2 linked regions of the Callithrix jacchus genome follow. The protein of the gene in region 1 binds, or shares a complex with, the protein of each later gene. Links are inferred from orthologs where the notes say so. Each region holds a gene or a part of one and is shown in the gene's direction. Other genes may lie near its edges. The genes, in order: BCCIP and TENT5A.

Region 1 (3,806 bases):
GGAGGTAAAGTGAACTGAACAAGGTCATACAGTATTTAAGATACAGTGCTTTCCAAGATGATAGTGGTAAAACTGTGACAGTATTTAAAATATAATGCTTTCTAAGATGACGGCGGTAAAACAGAGTTTTGCTTTTGAAAAGTGAAAAGATAAATGAGGCCTACATCCCAAGACTTGGTATTATACTCAACTAAATATAAAATTAAAATATTTTTTCTTTTAAAATAGCAAACGAATGTTTCAGAAGACAGCGATGATGATGTGGATGAAGATGAGATTTTTGGTTTCATAAGCCTTTTGAATTTAACTGAAAGAAAGGTTGGTTTCACGGGGTGACATCTCAATGGTTATTTCTTAGGCCAAAACCACTTCTATTTAATGCATGGTGGATATATCTTTTATGTCAGATGATGATATTAACGAGAGGGATAAGTGCTGTTATTATAATCCATTTTCAATATGAAGGTGATGGTGTTTTGAATAATCTGTACCCAGTTAAAGTTGTTTACTCCCTGTGGTTTAGGGAATCATCTGGTTTGGCAGTCCTGATGTTGGTACTGATGCAGGAGCTGTTGGTACTGTGTCTCTGCAGCTGTTATCTTTACTACTTGTGTGGTGGGGATATTCTGAGGCTTTGTTGCTTCAAAGTTGAGGGCACTTACTGACATTTTATTTTGTTTTGCTTCATCGGTTTTTATTGACTAATGAGTTGTAATAAAAGTAAATCAGCTGCTTACCCTCCTCGGAATAAGATGCAGGCTACACTTAATCTTTCATTTTGAAATGAACTTTCCAGCTACTTCCATCTATCTTTATGAGGTGGACTAGAGTTGCTATTCCAGTGTGTCTGAATGTTAATTATGACCTTCTTACCACTGATCATGGGATGGTAAGTAACCAGTGTGTTTGCTTTTAAGAAATACTTAAGCGATCAACACTGAAGACGTACAAGATGCTAAAGGCTGTGGCAGCAAACTGCCCTTAGCTGTAAGATGAAAAGTGATAGCTCTCACTTTCAGGTTTTCTCCTGTAAGTGGTTGGCTGTAATAGAAAACAAACTTTCTCTTTGCTTTCTAGGGTACTCAGTGTGCTGAACAAATTAAAGAGTTGATTCTAAGCTTCTGTGAGAAGAACTGTGAAAAGAGCATGGTTGAACAGCTGGACAAGCTTTTAAATGACACCACCAAGGCTGTGGGCCTTCTCCTAAGTGAAAGATTCATTAACGTCCCTCCACAGATCGCTCTGCCCATGTACCAGCAGCTTCAGTAAGAGACTTAGGAAAATGCCTTTGAACAGTAATTTTTTTCCAAAGTAGATTCAGAAATGTCATTTAAGTAGAATATGTAGATAAATAAGGAGCTCTGTCCTTGGGTTAAGTGGGTTTAGTGTGAGAGAAGTGGAAGAAGCCTCCTGTGAAGTGCATACATTATTAACTGGCTTTTTAAAGAGTTTGTGTCAATAATCTTAACCATCTTTAAACTTAAGATTTAAGTGGTATCTAAGTAGATAATTTCATGTAGACTTTTCAATCCCCATTTGATTGAAGTTTTACACCTTTACATACAGCTTTCTGCAACACAAATGCTGAACAATTACAACAATAACAAAACTGGTAAAATTCCCAAATTCTCTTGGTGTGTTTCATAACTAAGGAAACCATAGTCCTGATACTGTGTCTAGTTTTTCAGGGTTTTTTGTTGTTCTGTTTTTTTAATGCAGGAGTTTTAAGATTACAAAAATATTTCAAATGTAGCCGCGAAATCTAGCAGACTGAGTGTAGTAAGAATTGTATTGCTTGTGCTTTGCAATGGAGGGCATAATATAGGCAGATTCACTTATTTATTTCCATCTATGTAATTTTTTTTTTTTTTTTTGGGTAGAGACAGGGTCTTGCCATGTTGCCCAGGCTGGTCTTGAACTCCTAGGCTAAAGTGATCTTCCTGCCTTGGCCCCCCAGTGTTGGGATTACAGGTGTCAGTCGCAGCTCTTGGCCTAAACAGGTTCCTCTTTTTTTTGGAGTTGAAGTCTTGCTCTGTCACTTGGGCTGGAATGTGATAACGCAATCTCGGCTCACTGCAACCTCCGCCCTCCAGGTTCAAGCAATTCTCCTACCTCAGCCTTCCGAGTAGCTAGGATTACAGGCAGCCATCACCATGCTCAGCTAATTTTTTGTATTTTTAGTAGAGATGGGGTTTCACTACATTGGCCAGCCTGGTCTCAAACTCCTGACCTTGTGATCTGCCCGCCTTGGCCTCCCAAAGTGCTGGGATTATAGGCGTGAGCCACCACACCTGGCCTGACAGCTTCTTGATAGAATATTCTTTCTCAGAAGTCACAGCACTTGTGTTGTGGTTTCCCTTTAAATAGCCGTAGGAATACAGTTCTACTCTGGAAACCTTTAGGTTTGCTGTTTTTCCTAGGGATTCAGTGCTGCTTACCTCCTGCTCCCTGTTCTCTCAGCTGCAGCTCAGATTGTGTTTCTGGTGCCTTAAGTGTTTTTTTTTTTTTCCTGATCAGCTGAAGCTCACGTTTATTTGCTTTTATAGAAGGGTGATTTGCTTTCTCCTAGTTTTGTTAAAAGAAAGTTGAAGTGAGGCATACTGGCTCACACTCTAATCCCAGCACTTTGGGATGCTAAGGCGGGTGGATCACCTGAGGTCAGGAGTTTGAGACCAGCCTGGCCAACATGGTGAAACCCTGTCTCTACTAAAAAAAATACAAAAATTAGCCAGGCATGGTGGCAGGTTCCTGTAATCCCAGCTACTCAGGAGGCTGAGGCAGGGAGAATCATTTGAACCCGGGAGGCAGAGGTTGCAGTGAGCCGGGATCGCACCACTGGAGAGCCAACCACAGTAGCACATACCTGTAGTCCCAGCTACTCGGGAGGAAAGCTTGAGGCCAGGAGTTCCAAGCTGCAGTGTGTGATGACTGTGCCTGTGAATACCGACTGCACTCCAGCCCGGGCAACATTACAAGACCCTGTCTCTTTAAAAAAAAAAAAAAAAAAAAAAAAAAAGGTGGTTGGTGGGGGTAGGCCAGGTGTGGTGGCTCACACCTGTAATTCCAGCACTTTGGGAGGCTGAGGCTAGCAGATTGCTTGAGGCTAGGAGTTTGAGACCAGGTTGGCCAACATGGCAAAACCCCAATTCTAAAATTACCAAAAAAAAAAAAAATTAGCTGGGCATGGTTGTGCAGGCCTGTAATCTCAGCTACTTGGGAGGCTGAGGCATGAAAATCGTTTGAACGTGGGAGGTGGAGGTTGCAGTGAGCTGAGATTGCGCCATTGTACGCTGCAGCCTGGGCAACAGCAGCCTGGGCAACAGACTGAGATTTTGTCTCCAAAAAAAAGAAAAAAAAAAAGGGAAAGCTGAAGAAGAGGGTTGTTCTGAGTTTCTTCTTTTGTTCGAGGGCATCCAGATGCACAAGACTATGTTTAATATTCAGAAAGAAGAAACATTAAGGTTTCATTGCCATTCCATTGCTAGAATTTAGGGTATGTGTTTGCAGTTGCTGCAGTATGTCAGAAGTTAGTTTCAGACTCTAGCAATTAAGAGACTGTAGTCGTCACAGGCTGTAGTGACATTGCTTGTGTCTGTATACCTCTGTGTGTTTCAGTTCAATGCTCATTGCTTCCAAAAATTCAGATTCATGTATTTTTAACTTCTACACAGGCAAGTAGTGATGTTATATTGAGTGAATTTGAGATTCATCTGTTAGTTGCTATATAAATCAGAGATGTATCATACAATTTATTATAAAAAGTGGTTCATAATCCAAAATGCAACTGATGATGTAAATAAAAATCA
Region 2 (4,565 bases), on another chromosome or scaffold:
GTGACAAAATAGTCTTATATATTCATGTGCACATAAGAATATGCATATGCGTATATACGTATAAAATGCCTGGTTAAGATAGATTCATGCACAGAAGGCCGGTCGGGGACCACATCGGTGTGCTCTGAAGGAAGCGATGGCCCCTGAGGACAGGTTAGTGGTCCTGGAGTCCGCAGGCGCACCTCAGTGCTTAGGTGCAGCGCTGAGAGGACGGCCTTTGCCATGGGGCCAGTCGGGTTTCTCCATTTTGGGACGCAGCTCGGCAGGACACCAGCAGGGGGCGGCGTCGTCCCGCAGCTGGATGCTCCACGAGTGACACCCCCCCAGCACCCCACCTCTCATCTCCAAGCCCCGCAGCTTCAGTGATTAGGCCGGAACTCCCCCAGTTCGGAGGTGCGGGCTGTTTTTCTTCCCAGGCTGGGAGGGCAGGGCTGAGCAGGGTTTAGGGAGTATTCTGTGACCCTGGCATTTCCCCCCTTTGCCCTACTTTAACCCCCGGCAGCGTCTAGGCGCTGGGAAAGCTGCTCAGGGTTAGGTGACGGAGGCTGTGAGCGGCCAGAAGAGATGGCCACAGCTTTCTAGCAAAGACAGTGGTGGTGGCGCGAGTGAGCGTGGGGAGAACCCTTAACTCTGTCGAAGTAACTGAAGCTGTAGGGGAGAATTCGTTTTATTCCTGAAACTCCTTTTACCTCTCATGGGAAACCAAATAGTATTCCACGGACACAATGATGCACTTAAAACTGCCAAACCTTAGCGGGCCGCGAGGAAGACACTTCGCCGCTTCGGGTTTTCTAAAAAAGAACGCGCAGCAAAGCGCTCAACAGCAAGTAGCCCTTTCCCCCGACTCCGGGGCCCTGCGCACTCCCCGTGCGCGCTCTCGGCACCGCACTCGGCCCGCCCCGTCCTCTGCGATTGGCTGCTCTCCGCTCCGTGACGCCCCCCGGCCCCCGCCGCGCACCCGGTTCCTCGGGAGCCACTCCTGTGCAGGAGCCGCGCACGCCCGCGGCCTGGGGTGTCGCCCCCGCGCCTTCTCTTGCTAGCCAGGAGCTCCCTGGCGCGCCTGCCGAGGTTTCGAGAATCGAAATCCGGTTATCAACAAGCCCTTCCCACTCGCGCAGCCGTGACTGATTTGCGTGCACGAGTGGACTCAGGAGTCCACGCTTGGATCGAGTTTGTCAATGGAGTAAATGGTCTCAGCTAGAAATCGACATTTAAGAGAGTTCGTGAGGAACCTCCGTGAGAAACCTCCGAATCTCAGCCGTGAAGATATAATGACGGGCAGTATCCGCGAAAATTTTAGAAAGTTTCTGCAGTTGCAGAATTTTAGTCGTGATCTGGTTTTGATGACCAATTATGACTCCTGAGGCATTTAATGTGTTTCCTCATGGGAGAAAAGATATGTGGGAGGGGGCGTACTTAAATCAAATGTATGTATAAATACACGCATAGCTATAGGCGCACACACGTATACACATACAGCCCGGGGCCTCGCACTCTCTGGAGGTCGACCCGCAACCAGGCCGGCTGGGCAAGTCCGCTGCGCGCCTGGCGGGCGGGGAGGGCGGGGGGCAGGAGGCGGTGCCCTATGCAGATGAGGAGGGTGTGGCGAGCGTGCCGCTCCGGGGCCCCGGAAGCGCAGAAAAGCCCGGTATAAAAAAAGTACTGAAGACGTTTTCCCCCGCACAACTGCTAAAGCTCCAGAGACACAATCGTGTGCGGCAGCAAGAGCCGCCACCTTCGGGACCACAGCAGCTGGGGCGGCAGCGGCGCGGGAGGGGGCGCGGGGAGGGAGTGGTGAGCGCAGGCGGCAGGGGTCTGGGAAAGACTTAAGTCGCTAGTCGCTGCCGGAGCGCAATCGCAGCTCCTGGAATTGTTTCCGCCTCGCGGTTTCTCTCTTGCTCGCTGCGCTCCTAGAAGGGGCGGCCGCCTCCAGGTGACACAGACGGGACTCTCGCTTGTGCTTTCCAGATGCATCAGAGATACTTTTGGTGCGGGGCTGCTCTGCGGGGCGCGGGGCGCGGCTGGGGATTATAAAGGCCCGGGGAGGGAGAGTCTCCCAGGAGCCCCCGGGTCAGGGAGAGATCGGTGGAGGGGGCGCTCTTTTCCTGGCGGGCCGCTGCCCTCCGCCGCGGTGTCCTTACCGCTCCTTTCCCCTTCCTTTTAGGACTGACCAGGGCCAAGTGGCGCTCGGTGGGCACTACATGGCGGAGGGCGAAGGGTACTTTGCCATGGCCGAGGACGAGCTGGCCTGCGGCCCCTACATTCCCCTAGGCGGCGACTTCGGCGGCGGCGACTTCGGCAGCGCAGAATTCGGCGGTAGTGGCTTCGGCGGCGGCAGCAGCTTCGATGAGCACTGCTTGGACTATTGCGAAAGCCCCACGGCGCACTGCAACGTCCTGAACTGGGAGCAAGTGCAGCGGCTGGACGGCATCCTGAGCGAGACCATTCCGATCCACGGGCGCGGCAACTTCCCCACGCTCGAGCTGCAGCCGAGCCTGATTGTGAAGGTGGTGCGGCGGCGTCTGGCGGAGAAGCGCATCGGCGTCCGCGACGTGCGCCTCAACGGCTCGGCCGCCAGCCACGTCCTGCACCAGGACAGCGGCCTGGGCTACAAGGACCTGGACCTCATCTTCTGCGCAGACCTGCGCGGGGAAGGGGAGTTTCAGACTGTGAAGGACGTCGTGCTGGACTGCCTGTTGGACTTCTTACCCGAAGGGGTGAACAAAGAGAAGATCACACCACTCACGCTCAAGGTAAAAACTACCCGAGATGCACTTGGGTCCTGACCCGGCTGGACCGGGTGCGACGGGGAGCGGGCAGAGGGACATCGGTTAAATGCCATGAATCTGTGGCCATCACGGGTTTGGGCGCGCGTATTTCTTTGATTTTTTTTAAATGAGTAAACTTACGTGTGTGGACGGTGTTGAGTGTTTCAGTTTACTTGATGCTTCGGCGCTACAACTCTTCTCCAACGTCCTCCTCTGCCCTACCTTTCTTCCTTTTCCTTATGTTTTAACTCTTGACTTTCCCTGTTGGGGTCTTGTCCAGAGTAGATTTTGATACTCGGCAGAATGAAATGATGTAAATAATGTTTTGAGTTATGATCCAGTCCTTGGGAAAAGAGCAGCCTGAAGCAGAAGTGAGTCAATGAGTTTTTTTTATTGTACTGGAAAAGGTGAATAGATTTCATAGCAGTACTCAGCTGACTCTGTGTTAAAGGTCTATCTTGTGGTTCTCCGTGCTGGTTCATATGTTAAGGGTATAGTGGTAGCCCCTACCCACCCTCCACTTTAGTTCAAGACGGGTTTTATATGATAAGTCAAAATTGTTTGAGGAGGCAGGCTCCCAGAACGTCGTAATTTAGTTTATATTTGATTGTAACTGCAGAGTACCCCTGGAGGAGCACACAAGATACTGATAACATTGATTGCCGCGGGCGTAGAGGGATTGGGTGGCTTGGAACAAGGGTGAGAGGCTGACTAACCTACAGCTGAATGCCTTCCTGAGTTTTGAATGTTGTTTGGATACTGTGTGAATATTGTGCCTATTAGACCATTTTCAAAAAGTAACACTTAAAAGTCAGACATGACAACAGAACCTCTTACTACTGTGCTACGTCTGCCAAAAGCCTCAAACTATTACCTCTAGTGCCTTTCCCAGACAGTAAAACTACTCGTTAAAAGTATTTTTTTTTTTTCTATTTTCAGAAGATCGTTTACGCCTGTAGATAGTGTTTGGCTGAAACTTGACAAAACAAAAGGGAAAGAGCAAAATCATTCTCAGCTGTGAGGAGGATGGATTTATTTATTTATTAATTTATTATTGTTTTCTAGGTTTGCTCATTTTGTTTTATCTTTTAAATTGTAGGAAGCTTATGTGCAGAAAATGGTTAAAGTGTGCAATGACTCTGACCGATGGAGTCTTATATCCCTGTCAAACAACAGTGGCAAAAATGTGGAACTGAAATTTGTGGATTCCCTCCGGAGGCAGTTTGAATTCAGTGTAGATTCTTTTCAAATCAAATTAGACTCTCTTCTGCTCTTTTACGAATGTTCAGAGAACCCAATGACTGAGACATTTCACCCCACAATAATCGGGGAGAGCGTCTATGGAGATTTCCAGGAAGCCTTTGATCACCTTTGTAACAAGATCATTGCCACCAGGAACCCAGAGGAAATCCGAGGGGGAGGCCTGCTTAAGTACTGCAACCTCTTGGTGAGGGGCTTTAGGCCCGCCTCTGATGAGATCAAGACCCTTCAGAGGTATATGTGTTCCAGGTTTTTCATCGACTTCTCAGACATTGGAGAGCAGCAGAGAAAACTGGAGTCCTATTTGCAGAACCACTTTGTGGGACTGGAAGACCGCAAGTATGAGTATCTCATGACTCTTCATGGAGTGGTGAATGAGAGCACAGTGTGCCTGATGGGACATGAAAGAAGACAGACTTTAAATCTTATCACCATGCTGGCTATCCGGGTATTAGCTGACCAAAATGTCATTCCTAATGTGGCTAATGTCACTTGCTATTACCAGCCAGCCCCCTATGTAGCAGATGCCAACTTTAG

What was found.
Region 2: the proteins of BCCIP (region 1) and TENT5A are in contact, whole or in part, in a crystal structure (PDB 8EXE), measured with the Homo sapiens proteins. The link is inferred for Callithrix jacchus from reciprocal best matches to the Homo sapiens genes BCCIP and TENT5A. Residues at the interface, in NP_510868.1 of Homo sapiens: Val57, Asn58, Ile59, Glu60, Phe61, Glu62, Ala63, Tyr64, Ser65, Leu66, Gln146, Val149, Leu150, Phe152, Cys153, Glu154, Lys155, Asn156, Cys157, Glu158, Lys159, Glu163, Lys167, Leu203, Ala204, Ala206, Thr225; in NP_060103.2 of Homo sapiens: Arg87, Gly88, Asp139, Glu151, Gln155, Lys158, Lys184, Glu185, Val188, Gln189, Lys190, Met191, Val192, Lys193, Val194, Cys195, Asn196, Asp199, Trp201, Asn213, Arg289, Lys295, Glu331, Arg334, Gln341, Asn342, His343.

Annotation. Positions count from the first base shown.
Region 1 is NC_133513.1:119,138,982-119,142,787, forward strand, and holds part of BCCIP (BRCA2 and CDKN1A-interacting protein), read left to right. Parts: intron 1-228; coding exon 229-318; intron 319-1,077; coding exon 1,078-1,265; intron 1,266-3,806. UniProt on the Homo sapiens protein: During interphase, required for microtubule organizing and anchoring activities. During mitosis, required for the organization and stabilization of the spindle pole.
Region 2 is NC_133505.1:87,246,587-87,251,151, reverse strand, and holds the start of TENT5A (terminal nucleotidyltransferase 5A), read left to right. Parts: upstream 1-1,680; 5' UTR 1,681-1,968; coding exon 1,969-1,988; intron 1,989-2,164; coding exon 2,165-2,753; intron 2,754-3,867; coding exon 3,868-4,565.